Anolis sagrei: one gene and its partner. The protein of the gene in region 1 purifies or fractionates together with the protein of each later gene. This does not show direct contact. Links are inferred from orthologs where the notes say so. Each region holds a gene or a part of one and is shown on either strand. Other genes may lie near its edges.

Evidence for each region. The genes of interacting proteins can lie anywhere in the genome.
Region 2: the proteins of ARAF (region 1) and HSP90AB1 purify together in Homo sapiens (affinity purification with mass spectrometry; 5 studies listed by BioGRID and IntAct, with this or other methods). This does not show direct contact. The link is inferred for Anolis sagrei from reciprocal best matches to the Homo sapiens genes ARAF and HSP90AB1.

What each region holds. Positions count from the first base shown.
Region 1 is NC_090022.1:192,681,235-192,688,203, reverse strand, and holds the start of ARAF (serine/threonine-protein kinase A-Raf), read right to left. Parts: upstream 3,014-6,969; 5' UTR 2,950-3,013; intron 1-2,949. UniProt on the Homo sapiens protein: Involved in the transduction of mitogenic signals from the cell membrane to the nucleus. May also regulate the TOR signaling cascade. Phosphorylates PFKFB2.
Region 2 is NC_090021.1:48,271,597-48,279,449, reverse strand, and holds the start of HSP90AB1 (heat shock protein HSP 90-beta), read left to right. Parts: upstream 1-4,830; 5' UTR 4,831-4,933; intron 4,934-7,853. UniProt on the Homo sapiens protein: Molecular chaperone that promotes the maturation, structural maintenance and proper regulation of specific target proteins involved for instance in cell cycle control and signal transduction. Undergoes a functional cycle linked to its ATPase activity.

The DNA.
Region 1 (6,969 bases):
TATTCTATTGTTTTAAAGTGTTTTTTGCACTACAAATAAGATATGTGCAGTGTGCATAGGAATTCATTTATTTTTCCAAATTATAATCTGGCCCTCCAACAGTTTGAGGGACTGTGACCTGGCCCCCTGTTTAAAAAGTTTGAGGACCCCTGGGTTAAACCCTTGTGTTGTTGAACTGCTGACCTGAAGGTTGCCAGTTCAAATCCGCAATTCGGGGTGAGCTCCCTTCTGTCAGCTCCAGTTCCTGCTAACCTAGCAGTTCGAAAACATGCAAATGTGAGAATTGGCAGGAAAAGTCAAAGAGATGCTTCAAAAAAATTTCCTTGTCTTGAAAATAGAGAAAGCACCTCCTCAGTGCCAGAGATAAGCAGTGGCTCCAGAAGCCGGAAATGAAAGAAGCCTCTGCCTGTTTGTGTGTCTCACTGTATATGACTGTAAAGGCATTGAATGTTTGCCTATATATGCTGTAATCTGCTCTGAGTTCCCTAGGGTGGAATATAAATTAAGTATATTTAAAAATGTATTACAGCTCCTGTGATTCCACAGCACTTTTTTTTTTGTGTCAGGAGCGACTTGAGAAACTGCAAGTTGCTTCTGGTGTGAGAGAATTGGTCGTCTGCAAGGACATTGCCCAGGGGACACCAGATTGTTTTGATGTTTTGTCATCCTTTGTGGGAAGCCGGAGCTGACAGAGGGAGCTCATCTGCGCTCTTCCCGGATTTAAACCTGCAACCTGTCGGTCTTCAGTCCTGCCGGCACAAGGGTTTAACCCATTGCGCCACCGGGGACTCCATTCCATAGCACTGAGCCAACGCAGTTCAAGTGGTGCCAAACTGCATGAATTCTACAGTGTAGACGGAGCCAATGAGGACTTATGGGTGCCTAAATGAAATAAGTGCTGGCCTCTATCAGGGAGAGCATTCCACATTTGGGGTGCCACGACTCAGAAGACCCCATCCCATATCTGAACACTGCATATTAATCTTATTTATGGGACACTGAGAAGCTATTTGGGACTTTACAAGTCATCGCGACCACTTTGAATCCAGATTGGAAATTTGTATTTTGGCAGCCAGTGCTATTTGTTTAAGATTGGCATGACGTGCTGTCGATATGGCCTTCTAGTCAGCAATCAAGTTCCTACACTCTGCAGTTTCTGAGTGTACTTCAAGGGCAGCCCCACACAGAGCCCATTGCAGTAGTCTGCTCAAATATTATTCATTTTTATTGTAAACGGCCTTGTAATCCCATGATATAAGGCAAAGGTAAAGGTTTTCCCCTGACATTAAGTCCAGTCGTGTCTGTCTCAGGGGGTTGGTGCTCATCTCTATTTCTAATCTGAAAAGCCGACGTTGTCCTTAGACACCTCCAAGGTCATGTGGCCGGCATGACTGTATAGCGCGCCATTACCTTCTCACGGGAGCAGTACCTATTGATTTAGTCACACTTGCATGTTTTCGAACTGCTCAGTTGGCAGAAGCTGGAGCTGACAGGTGGGAGCCCACCCCACTCCTTGGATTCGAACCTGCGACCTTTCAATCTGCAAGTTCAACAGCTCAGTGATTTAACCCACTGCGCCACTGGGGGGCTCCTTGATCTAAGGTACACTGTAAATATTTATTTATTATTTATTTATTGAAGCATTTTATTATTTACTAGCCGCCCCCTGCCACGTACTGCTGTGGCCCACTCTGTGTATATGTGTTGTGTGTGTGTGTATGTGTATATATATTTGTGTAGATGTGTGTTTGCGTATATATATATATGTTGTTATGCACATGCATTGTATTGTATATTTTGTTTTTTGGCTGTGTTTTTCAATGTTTTTATGAGTGATGGTCACTTGTTGGCCTCAAATGTGTATTGTGTCCAAATTTGGTGTCAAATCATCCAGTGGTTTTTGAGTTATGTTAATCCTATGAATGAAGATTACAATTTTATTTATATAGTGTATCTTGATATAAGGTAATAGCATTCATCAATTAATAAATAAGACACAAATAAATGTATCTATAGAGTGACTAAGAATGATCAACAGAGACTGATCTAAAGACATAAGGATGCTTCTTCAGGTGTAAAATTAATGCAGTTTGATCCCACTTTAACTGCCACACCCCCATGCTATGGAATCCTGGGATTTGTAGCTTGTGAAGGCCCCAGAGCTCTTTAACAGGGAGACCTTGTAAAACTACAATGCCCAGGATGCCATTGCCTTGAGCCTGGGCAGTTCAAGTGATATCAAACTGCATTAATTCTACGTGTGACCAAAGCAGCCCCCTATCATCCTTCACTATAGGACAAGTTGGCTGGGGCTGATGGGAACTGCAGTCCGGCAATCCCTGAGCATCTACACTACAGATTTAACGCAGTTTGGCCTCCCTTGGAACTATCAGGACTGGGTGATGCAGAACACTGGGAGTTGTAGTTTGACAGAGAAGTGTCCAATATTGCAATAAAACTATAACTCCCACTGCATTCAGCAGTGAAAGCGGTGTCACACTGGATTCATTCTACAGTGTAGATGCAACCTTCCAGGGAGATGAAGCCCAATACAGCTGGAGAGACAAAGGTTGGGGATGATGGGAGGTGCAGTCTATGCCTTTGCCTGGGGATAGGGGTCTCAATTCGGGAAGGAGGAGGAGGAAGAGGAGGAGAAGTCCACGCCTCTCCCCTCCTGCAACTTAAACCAGAGCCGCGGGCGAAATCCGGGCCAGTCTGACCGCATTCCCAGTCCGGAATGACGTCTGGAAGCGACTCTAAACGCCCCCCCCCCCCTTTAAAAAGAAGGTGTGGGTTCCCAAGCCCGAAAAGCGCATTGAAGTGGCTGAGGAGCCGGGCAGGAAGATACCAAGAGAGCAGGAAAATAGGGGGGTCAGTCCGGGAAGGGGAGGAGGGGCCGAACGAGACCATCGGAATGTGGGAAAAGCCAAGGAAAGGGAGACTTCCTACCTCTCGCCCAGAGACAGCCACCATCTTGTGCGAGCGTTCGAAAGGGGGCGGGGCGCCGGGCGTTGACGTCACAATAAGGGGGCGGGGCGCTTTTAGGGGAGAGGAAGGGATTAACCCTTTAATTCCCAAACACAATTATTCAGCTCTCATTTACAAAGAATCAACTGGACATTCAAATGGAGTCCCTTTCAGCTCAATGTTGGGGCCACGAAAAAAATTGGCAACAGTCAAAGGTTTCTGAACGCCACCCATTTACACAGATCTGTTAGCAACAACCTGGAATGCATGCAGTTTTGCAAAAAACTTTAAGCTCCACTTCACTTGCAAATATATTATGGTTACTGCAATCCCTGGTGTCCACTTTTGGGGATTGGATTGGAATGCCTATATTGAGTTTTTCCAGTCTGCAATCCATTATTTTCCTTTCCCTATTTGCTGATAGATTTTAGTCAGGACTAGATTAGATCTCTCCCTGTATCAGTTGCCAAACAAATATGTAAACATCCTGCGGCTCCTCCATGATACATGATGGCAACAGTCTTGGGCAGCAATGGCTCCCAAAGTGACCCATTTAAGGTGGAATTGATGCAGAGCATCTACCCCCCCCCCCAAGTATTTGTAGTTCGCCAAGGGCCGGACAATGGATTCTGCTGCTTCCTGACCCAGCACACATAACTGGGTTCCTGTTTCCCTTCTGTGAATTCTCTGGCTTGTGCACTGGACCCTGGCCCCTGATCAGGGAAATGTAGTTCTCCAAAGGACATTGCCCCACTCTCCACCATTTGCGGATTCCTTGCGGACCTTTCTGCCCTCACTGATTGACTTGATGCCCTATCATCATGAACTTCCTCCACGGACTCAAAAGCCAAGCCGCTTGGGAAGCATGGCCCCCGCCCGTGGGTGCATGCCCTTGTTGCAAAGGATCATACCTCAGGAACTCTGCTGATTGCCTTTATTAATTGCTGTGGGTTTTCTAATAAACTTTACTGGGATGGGGATCTTTTCTATGAAATCTATGAGTTATGAAAGACTGTGAAGAATATATATATGAAGTATATGATATGTAATGAGATGAAATGAAATGAGATGTACCCTCACCCCTTTCCTTGCCTTCCCCCTCTTGAACTTTACCCTATAAAAGAATATGTGACCTGGGGATTACAGTTAAGGAAATCCAATTTCCTTGGAAGAAACTCCATCCATATTGACAATGCATGGACAAATACTGGCAAATCTATGGCTTTGTTCTCAGAGTCAGACAAACAAAAGCCAGAGATTTTGTCAGCCAAAAGCCCGGAAAAACCGACTGATTAAATCAATCATGGTGTTTGTGTATGCTCCCTTGTGTCAAAGGATCTCCTTTGCCTACAGGGTTGAGATCCAGACACCATCCATAGCCACCCTTTTTGCTCATACACATCTTTTATCAAGACCCAGGAAATCCCTTGTTCTCCCCATCCGCCTCCCTGCCGTGAAGAGACAAAAGGTGTTCCATCAGCTGGCAGACGCCTCCCAGGCGTTCCGCCCCTCTGCGCTATCAGACTGAAAGCCCGCCTCCTGGCCGCTGATTGGACAATCTCCGGAGGCGCTCCGAGGGCTCTGATTGGCCCTCTGGAGGCGACAGCGGCCGGCGATTGGAGGGAAGGCGGGACCAGCGGCCAAGCCTCCTCCCAGCTGTTCCGGAGCCGGCCAACCAGGACAGAGGGGACTGACAGGAGGCGGGCGGGAGATTCAAACCAGGATTTCTTTGTTCTGCCTGTATAAATATGCCTGAAATTCACTGTACTGTATGCCTTATGGAGGATTCATCCCTGTAACGCATCCTTTTCAGCTGAATCGCAAAATAAACGCCTCGGTCGTAGACTCCTCTTCAGCCTCTGGCGAGATTGATCTTCAGTAACTTTGCGTCTTCTTGAATTGGCATCCGCTGGCCGCTCGCCAAGGTCAAAGACCCCCTTTGCGGTCTTCTGGGGCCTTCCTCGCTGGGAAAGCCCCCCAAAAGGAGCTCGATATCATTTGGCTTTACCACGAAGGGACTGCTGCTTGAGGTTCCAGACTAAATTATAGCCTAAATTCTCAAGCAGGCGCCTTGGTCTGATTCTTTGGGCCAGCAGCAAAGGAGGAACGGCTTGGGAAAAGAGGCGCCTCTCCCAATTCGGACTTTCATTTGACCAGCTAACCAAAACTACAAATTCTCCCGCAGCCACTTCCTCCCAAGCTCTGACCTAGGGTTTCAGCACAAAGGAGCGCCAGGGAAGCCTTGATCTAAGGACTTCCAGGAAGAGGAACGACCGACGCGGAAAGGGGGGAAGAAAACGTCCGGACGGGTAAGAAATCAACCGCGGGCTGCCTTGGCTGCCAGGTGGGAGGGGATTCTAGGTTTTCTGAACCAGCTTCGGAGTCGGCCCACTGGGGAGGGATTCTCTAGGTCTCGGTAACAAATTCCTGGCGGGGGGTAGCGAACATCCACGTTTGAGGCCTGGAATAGCAACTCAGCTCGCTTTTGCGGACTTGGCTGGAGCTACGCTGGAAAGGGAGCCCTCCCCTTTCGGACTGCCTAGCTGCCAAGGGCTGATCGCCCCGGGCTCTTCTGCTAGGGAACCGTTCGGGCTCTAGCCTGCCTTGCGGTTGGGGGGGCTACCCTGATTAACCACTTCAGTGTGGGGCTACCAGGAGAGATTGGGCGCATGTTATTCCAGGGTCAAACGTCCTGCTTCATCAGAAACATCTTTTGGAAGATACTGGCGGAATGGGGCAGGGTTGCGTCGCCGACGCAGGCCAGTAGGGTAAAAATCGCATGGAGAGGTGGCCCTCCAGGCCCTCAGCAGGTGGAGTTTCGTGGCCCCTCATGGCAGTCGGATCGCTGTGAGGGGGCCAAGAGGACCGAAACCGCCTCTGCCTCATGCTTTTTGCCATGTGCCGGAGGGAGGTGGAAGGGGGGGGGGTAGTTGTGGCCAACTCCTACCATGCAAGGGGAAGGTAACAAAGCCCCAACCCCCCCAGGAAACCCCCTCCAGACCCCTTCACCCTCTCCCTTTGGAAGAAATTGCTTGTTCCCCTACCATCCCATTCCCATTTCCCTTTACCCAATCTCCCTGACTCCTTCCTTCCCTTCCCAACCCCTCCATTTCCCTATTCCCTATTTATGATGCATTTATATGCCCCTCTGTTTGTTTGTTTTTTTTTTCTTCACTGCTCCTTGAGGAAATGATCAGGGAAATTCTTTGCTCTCCTCCTCTCCTGCTTCCTCCTGTGCCACCTTTTTTCCTTCCTTCAGATGGAAAAGGGAGGCATCGCTCATTCCCTCCTTCACCAAGCTACTACATCCCTTTCTTTCAAAAGCTGAATCTTCAGTGCCTGTTTATTTATAATAAACAGTGTTTCCCCTCACCAGGAGAGACCCTGCCACTGATGTGACTCAGCTGCCTTGCAAAAGTCTCTCTCTCTCGCCTGGTTTCCCTGAACCAAGAGCTCTCTCCCTCTCCCCTTCTCTTCTGTGCAACTACAAAACCCATCTTTCAGGGGCAGTCACCAATGTCCCTGCCTTTCCTTTGTTTTTCCCTTCACTCTCCAACTCCCCCTTTTTGCTTTCAAACCCCTCCTCCCTCTCTCCTCTTGCAAACAAAGGGAGGTGTAGGGGGGGGGGGACCTTTTTCCTGCTCCTGTTTCCCTTTGCCAAGTAAAGTTTGCTGGGTTTCTCTCTCTCTCTCTCTCTCTTCTCCCTCCCCTCCCATCTTCTAAGAAGCCAGCATTCTGTGAATTTTTTTTTCCTCTATCCCCCAGAGAAATCCTGCTGCTCCCTCTTACCTCCTTCTCCAAAAACCTAAGGAAGGGATGTTCCAGAAGCATTCCCTCCTGACATTTCACCCACATCTATGGTTAAGTCTCTCTCTCTCACACACGCAGTCCCTCGGATGCTTTTTTCCTTCCTGGCCCTTCCTCCCTCCCCTTTCCCTGAGCGCATGTATGTGTATGTCTAAATTATCCCATTAACTGCCTTAAATATGAGGGGGGGCGTCG
Region 2 (7,853 bases), on another chromosome or scaffold:
AAAACGAAATGTAAGCATACAGAACGGCGGACGCCTGGCTCGAGTGTAGTACGTGTGAAAAAGATCTTGGAGTCCTCGTGGACAGCACGTTAAACATGAGCCAATGTGATGTGGCGACAGAAAAAGCCAATGGGGTTTTGGCCTGCATCAATAGGAGCATAGTGTCTAGATCTAGGGAAGTCATGCTACCCCTCTATTCCGCTTTGGTTAGACCACATCTGGAATATTGTGTCCAATTCTGGGCACCACAATTCAAGAGAGATATTGACAAGCTGAAATGTGTCCAGAGGAGGGCGACTAAAATTATCAAGGGTCTGGAGAACAAGCCCTATGAGGAGCGGCTAAAGGAGCTGGGCATGTTTAGCCTGAAGAAGGATGAGAGGAGATATGATAGCCATGTATAAATATGTAAGAAGACGTCACAGGGAGGAGGGAGCAAGCTTGTTTTCTGCTTCCCTGGAGACTAGGACGTGGAACCTACTTCAATGGCTTCAAACTATAAGAAAGGAGATTCCATCTGAACATGAGGAAGAACTTCCTGACTGTGAGAGCCGTTCAGCAGTGGAACTCTCTGCCCCGGAGTGTGGTGGAGGCTCCTTCCTTGGAAGCTTTTAAACAGAGGCTGGATGGCCATCTGTCAGGGGTGCTTTGAATGCAATATTCCTGCTTCTTGGCAGTGGGTTGGACTGGATGGCCCATGAGGTCTCTTCTATGAATGTCCAGGGTGTAAACCCCGTTCCGCCCTTAGAGGCCTGGCTGTGGGCCTTCATGCCGTTTTGGGCCTATGGAAGCCTTCTCTGATGGCTTTCCTGGCCAGATTGATCCAGCAGCGCTTTGGCGGGGCCTACCCCTGAGGCTGAGAGAGTGTGCCCTTCCCCCCCCCCCTCTCTCTCTCTCCCCCTCCCTCTCAGGGACCTCCTAGAACGAGAGGAACCCGAAAGGCGTCAGAGAAGGAGGGGGACAAAGCGCCCTCTGGAAAATGCTAGAAAGAAGTCGCAGCACAAGCAGCCGTCTCCCTCCGCCGTCTATATCATAGGAAAGAATCCCCTTCGCCTCGCCGTTGCGCTCCAATCAGAAACAGGTGCTCTTCGCTCCGCCCCATTTGCGTGAGGGGAAATGCGCATGCGCGCGGAGAGCACGTTGTAAGATGGAGCTGGAGAGAAACGAAAGCTCTCAAGGAAGGAGGGGGGAAATAATTGTGTGATCAGGCGCATGCGCAGAAGAGCAGAGGCCTACAATAGGAGCAAGCCTGCGTCAGAGCGTGTCTAGAAAGCATGTTCAGCCCTCCTGAGGAAAGAGCAAGCAGAGCTTCCGAGCCAAGATGCTGTGGTTTAAGAAAGAATTGCTTCTTTTCTCCTTTTTGAAAGCCCTGCGCCTTCAGAGAATAATAATAATTAGCGCTCGCGTTATTTCCTGGTCTCCATTGACGATAATGTGGTTATTAAAAGATGGGCGAAAAAGAGGCGAGGTTATGAGTCACCGCCAGGAAGGGCCGCCCATGGCTCTTCCCTTTAAATGGGAAAGGTCTTGGTGGGCCCCACAAGAGAAGCAGCACCATTGCAGAGGAAAGCATCAGCAGAGAGGGCCATCACCTCTTTCTCCAAGCACAGTTCTCCAAAAGTCAAACTGGAGAAGAAAACAAAGACTGCAGAAAACAAACTACTTAGAATCATAGAGTCGGAAGGGACCTCGTGGGCCGTCCAGTCCAACCCCCTTCCAAGAAGCAGAAAAATCTCATTCAAAGCACCCCTGACAGATGGCCAGACAGCCTGTTTAAAAGCCTCCAAAGAAAGAGTCCCCATCACACTCCAGGGCAGAGAGTTCCACTTCTGAATAGCTCTCACAGGAAGCTCTTCCTAATGTTCAGATGGAATCTTCTTTCTTGCAGTTTGAAGCCATTGTTTTGCGTCCTTTGCATCCGCAGAGGTTGTGAGGTCTGTTGGAAACTAGGAAAATGGTTTTCCTAATTTCCAACAGACCTCGCAATGTCTGAGGGTGCCTGCCATAGATGCGAGAGAAACATCAGGAGAGAATGCTTCTGGAACATGGCTATACAGCCTGGAAAACACACAGCAACCTAGTGATTCTGGCCATTAAAGCCTTTGACAATATAATAAGAGTATGGTATTGGAAATGTGTAAATGGTGTAAACAACCGACAATGCCAATTTACTATTACTATATTTGCTTATCTTCTGATTTGAGTCAAGAGACTCAAAGTAATGAACAATGGTAAAAGCATTATAATACAATGTAACATTAAATCAGGTAAAAGCAATACCTGACTGAGAGTATAAACCTCTGGGTTGCTGTGAGTTTTCAACATTAAAACAAAGGATTCCTCCAGGCAGGAAGCAGCCAGCCTTTGAAACTGCAAGGGCATTCAATGCTAATCACTTGCCTCAAGTGGACAAGAGTTCTTTCTCCCATCCTGGACATTTCACAGATATATAAAACCCCACTTGCCTAGTTTCCAACAGATCTCACAACCTCTGAGGATGCCTGCCATAGATGTGGGAGAAACATCAGGAAAGAATGCTTTTGGAACATGACCATACAGTCTAGAGAACTCAAAGCAACCCAGTGATTTTGGCCATGAAAGCCTTTGACAACACATGAAAATAGAATTAAATTTAGAACTATTTTAAAAACAATAAAATTGTTTAAAATACATCAAAACAACACACAATAGTGGCATTTGGTTTCCCCCCCCCCCCCCAACACTCAATTGTTGTTTATTCGCTCAGTCGCAGCTGACTTTGTAACCTCATGGGCCAGCCCACGCCAGACTCCCTGTCCTCAGATGGATGGAACGATGCCATCCATCCATCTTGCCCTTGGTCTGCCCTTTTTCCTTCCATTTTCCCCAGCATCATTGTCTTCTCCAAGCTTTCCTGTCTTCTCATGATATGGCCAAAATACTTAATCTTTGCCTCTAATATCCTTCCCTCCAATGAGCAGTCGGGCTTTATTTCCTGGAGTATGGACTGGTTGGATCTTCTCGCAGTCCAAGACACTCTCAGAATTTTCCTCCAACACCACAGTTCAAAAGCACCTGTCTTCCTTCACTCAGCCTTCCTTATGGTCCAGCCCTCACATCTATAGGTTACTACGGGGAACAAGGGAACAATCCTTTACAGAAGCAACACTCAATATTACACGAGACTGCAACATTTCAAGTTAATTTTCTTCCTTCACTTAGCCTTCTCTATGGTCCCGCTCTCACATCCATAGGTGACTATGGGGAATACCATTGCTTTAACTATGTGGATCTTTGTTGCCAGTGTGATGTCTATACTCTTCACTATTGTATCGAGATTGGACATTGCTCTCCTCCCAAGAAGTAAGCGTCTTCTGATTTCCTGGCCGCAGTCTGCATCTGCAGTAATCTTTGCACCTAGAAATACAAAGTCTGTCACGGCCTCCACGTTTTCTCCCTCTATTTCCCAGTTGTCAATCATTCTTGTTGCCACAATCTTGGTTTTTTTGATGTTTAACTGCAACCCAGCTTTTGCGCTTTCTTCTTTCACCTTGATTAGAAGGCTCCTCTGCACCCCCTCACTTTCGGCCATCAAAGTGGTATCATCTGCATATCTAAGGATGTTAATGTTTCTTCCAGCAATTTCATCCCAGCCTTGCATTCCTCAGGCTGGTATATAGTGCAGGCCATATTATGTACCTGACTGCTACCTTCCATTTCTGCACAAAATAGTCTTCAGAATTTCTATGGACAATGCTTTATGATCTGTTTAGTATTCTTCTTAGGCGATCCCTCGTTGGACGAGTAAGATGGTCTTCCATTATGCGTTTCCTTGTGGGTTCGTAGGTGGCTGTGGAGCCCTATTCTTGATCCGCATCTTCTCCCACAGTGAGGGCATTGGTTTCCAGGTGGAAGGCGGTCCCAGTCGGGGTTGGCTTGATGCGCCTTCCTCCTGGCACGTTTCTCTCTTTCGCCCTCCACTCATGCCTCCTCGAATTCTACAGCACTGCTGGTCACAGCTGACCTCCAGCTGGAGCGCTCAAGGGCCAGGGCTTCCCAGTTCTCAGTGTCTATGCCAGAGATTTTAAGGTTGGCTTTGAGGCCATCTTTAAATCTCTTTTCCTGTCCACCAACATTCCGTTTTCCGTTCTTAAGTTCAGAGTCGAGCAACTGCTTTGGGAGAAGGTAGTCAGGCATCTGGACAACATGGCTGGCCCAGCGGAGTTGCTGTTGGAGGACCATCGCTTCAATGCTGGTGGTCTTTGCTTCTTCCAGCACGCTGGCGTTTGTCCGCTTGTCTTCCCAGGAGATTTGCAGGATTTTCCGGAGGCAGCGCTAATGGAATCGTTCCAGGAGTTGCATGTGACGTCTGTAGACAGTCCATGTTTCACAGGCATATAGCAGGGTTGGGAGGACAATAGCTTTGTAGACAAGCACCTTGGTATCCCTACGGATGTCTCGGTCCTCAAACACTCTCTGCTTCATTCGGGAAAATGCTGCACTCGCGGAGCTCAGGCGGTGTTGTATTTCGGTGTCGATGTTGACTTTGGTGGAGAGGTGGCTGCCAAGGTAGTGGAAATGGTCAACATCTGTTTAGTGGCTGAAGGGGAAAAGGAAGGGGCCTGAGGCAGTTAGGAATGGTGGGAGTTGGAGTCCAAAACACCTGGAGGGCCCAAGTTTGGCCAGGCCTGGTCGACCCCGCTTCAGCTGCCATAGTTCCGTGCTCTATAAAAGTGCTCCATTCCACAGTGTACAGAGGCACTCTTTCCCCTCCTCCAAAGGGATGCGGCCCCTTTAAGGCGGAAGGAGCCGAGGGGCGAGCGGCGCGAGGCCGGGCCGGGCGGATATAAAAGGGGGGCCCGCGCGCTCCCGCCTCCTCTCCCGGCTCTCTTGCTCCGAAGGCCGCCCCGCGCTCAAGGCTCGCCTCCCGCCCGTCTGCCCGCCCGCCATCAAGGTCGGTCCTTTTCTCCCCCTCGGAGGAAGATGGAGGAGCGGAGTGGAATCGCCCCCGGCTCTGAGAGTGGAGGGAGGGGGAAAAATGAGTCCCGCTCCCGGTCAGGAGGCGCCCTCAGAAGAAAGGAATCCGTCCCTGAGGGAGCCTTTGGAGCTAGGCCTCGGCCTCGCCGTGCCTCACCTCCTGAGCCGCCCTCAGGGAAGGAAAGCAAAGAGGGAAAGAAAGGCTTAGAGAAAGACGGAAAGCAAGCAGGTCGCCCCCAGAATACAACAAGGCAGGGAAAGGAGGCGAGGGAGGCCTTTGCGACAATGGCGGATTGGGGAGGGGGGAGCGAGGGAGCTCCCTCGCGTGGAAAGGGAGGGAGGGAAACGCGTGGGCATGGCCGCCTCCTCCCTGCTGCCAGGCCTGGATTGCGACAACGCGCCTCTTTGTGGAATAGGCAAGCAGAGATACATGGCGCACATGTGTGTACGCATCTATCTTCCATATAAATAATAATGTAATGTTCGTTTGTGGAATTAACAGAACTCGAAAACCACTGGACGAATTGACACCAAATTTGGACACAATACACGTATCAGGCCAACGAGTGACCATCACTCATAAAAACACTGAAAAACACAACGGAAGGGACTTCAAAAGCCAAAAAAAAATATTAAAAAATACATTACAGCATATGAGCAAAAACATATATATAGACGCAAACACACACACATATACACAAATATATATACACACAAAGCATATATATACAGAATGGGCCATAGCAACGTGTGGCAGGGGACGGCTAGGATCTATATAAATAAAAATGTAATGTTCGTTTGTGGGATTAACATAACTCAAAAGCCACTGGACGAATTGACACCAAATTTGGACACAATACACATATCAGGCCAACAAGTGACCGTCACTCATAAATACACTGAAAAACACAGCAGAAGAGACTTAAAAAGTAAAAATAAAAAATACATTACAATACATGTGCAAAACCATATATATACATATGCAAACACACATATATACACATACACAAAACACATATACACAGACTGGGCCACAGCAACGCATGGCAGGGGGTGGCTAATATATGTATATGTGGAGAGTGAAAGCAAAAGCACGTGCCTACCCACAGAAATAGAGCACATGTGTGTACATATATATATATGTAGAGGGAGAGAGAGTGCGTGCCTACCCACATGCATATATACAGATATAGCTCATAGGAGAGAGAGAACCTAAACGAAAGTACTGCCACAATTGTGTGCACGCACATATATGTAAGAGATGCATACGTAGCCAAAGAGAAAATATTGCTCGTCACACACATGATGAATTCCTAGCTTTGGGTTTCAAAAATAAAGTTTCTCTGTCTCTCTCTCTCTCTCTCTCTCTCACACACACACACACACACATACATACATATGCAGTTATTGATGGATAGATAGATATGCATACAAATGTATATAGTTAAAAAAGAAGAGAAAATAGTTTTACTACTAATTGTTACTAATTGTGGACATGAGGAATTCCTAGCTTGGGCAAACTGGCTGTTAAGAATTGTGGGACTTGGTAGTTCAAAACACCTGGAGGGACGAAGTTTGCTCATGCGTGCTTTAGTTTCCAGTAGAAAAGGTGTACATTCACAAACCTTTTCTATTTGAGACTACAGGGGAGGGATTCCTCGCATCTACAATGTGTATACATGCACAGGTTTTTGTAGATACACACATACATGTAAAAATTAAAGATCTTTACTAAAACTATACTTAAAAAAAGAATATGCACACACACACACACACACTTGTGCATAACATAGAAGAGAAAATAGCATTACAAATGGTAAACTTGAGAAAACCTGGAGTTTCAGACATCTATTTACACACACACACACATTTATTCAATTCTATGATGCAGTTTTCCCCTCATAAACATCTTTTAATAATGGCTTGTGCCTTAGACTCATGGGTGCTTTTTTCTGTTGGTGGTACTGAAATGTGTGGCTGAGGTAGTGACATTTCTGTTTTCTGTTGGTTCAGTGTACACAAACCTCCTTTCATGCACAAATTTATTTTTAAAATATTGTGTATGAAACTGCCTTCAGTTTATGCATATAAACTTTGTTTCATGCACAAAATTATTTTTCAAATACTGTGTAAAATTAAACTGCATATAAAGGTACATATGAAAAACAAATGAGTTTCATGTTTAGGGTTGGGTCCTATCTTTGAGATTCCTCATTATATACATGCAAATATGCAAAAAGAAATTTTTTTTAACCAATTGGAGGGCCAAAAGTTTGAAAACTAATGCCATACCTCTCCAAACTACAAACCTTAAAGAGTCTATGGGATGCAACTCAAAATAGGTTTATTCAATGGGGCGAATGCATATTTTAGAAAAAGCCATAAACCCTACATTGGAAGAAGGGAAAAGTGAAAATCTGATACTGACAGGTTGAAACAAAAAAGTTTCAATTCAGAGAAATCCCAACAATTTTCTTTACTTCATTTTAGTTTTGATCCCACCTCTTTCCAAATAAGGACTCAAGAACAAGACTGCCAAGATCTCACCACCTGAACTCGATCTACATTGTATCAGCTTAGCAATATAATCAACCCTCCATATTTTCTGGCATTATGAGCATAGGACCCCCACAAAATGAAAAAAAAAAACACTTTTTATAAAATGCCAAGAGAACAGTTCTAGGCATCTGTCTTTTAGTTCTATATAGTCAACATCCACTGGAAACTGGTAATAGAGTTGTGTGGGAGGACAGAGATCTCTCTAGAGACATGTTCTGTTTAGAAATCTCTAGTTCCTCCAGAACAACAACTGGTCGGTCCACAGTTGCACTGGAGGACCTTGTGTTTCCTACAGAAGCCATATTAATTAAGCCCTCAAATGTGGAGGGCTGATGTAC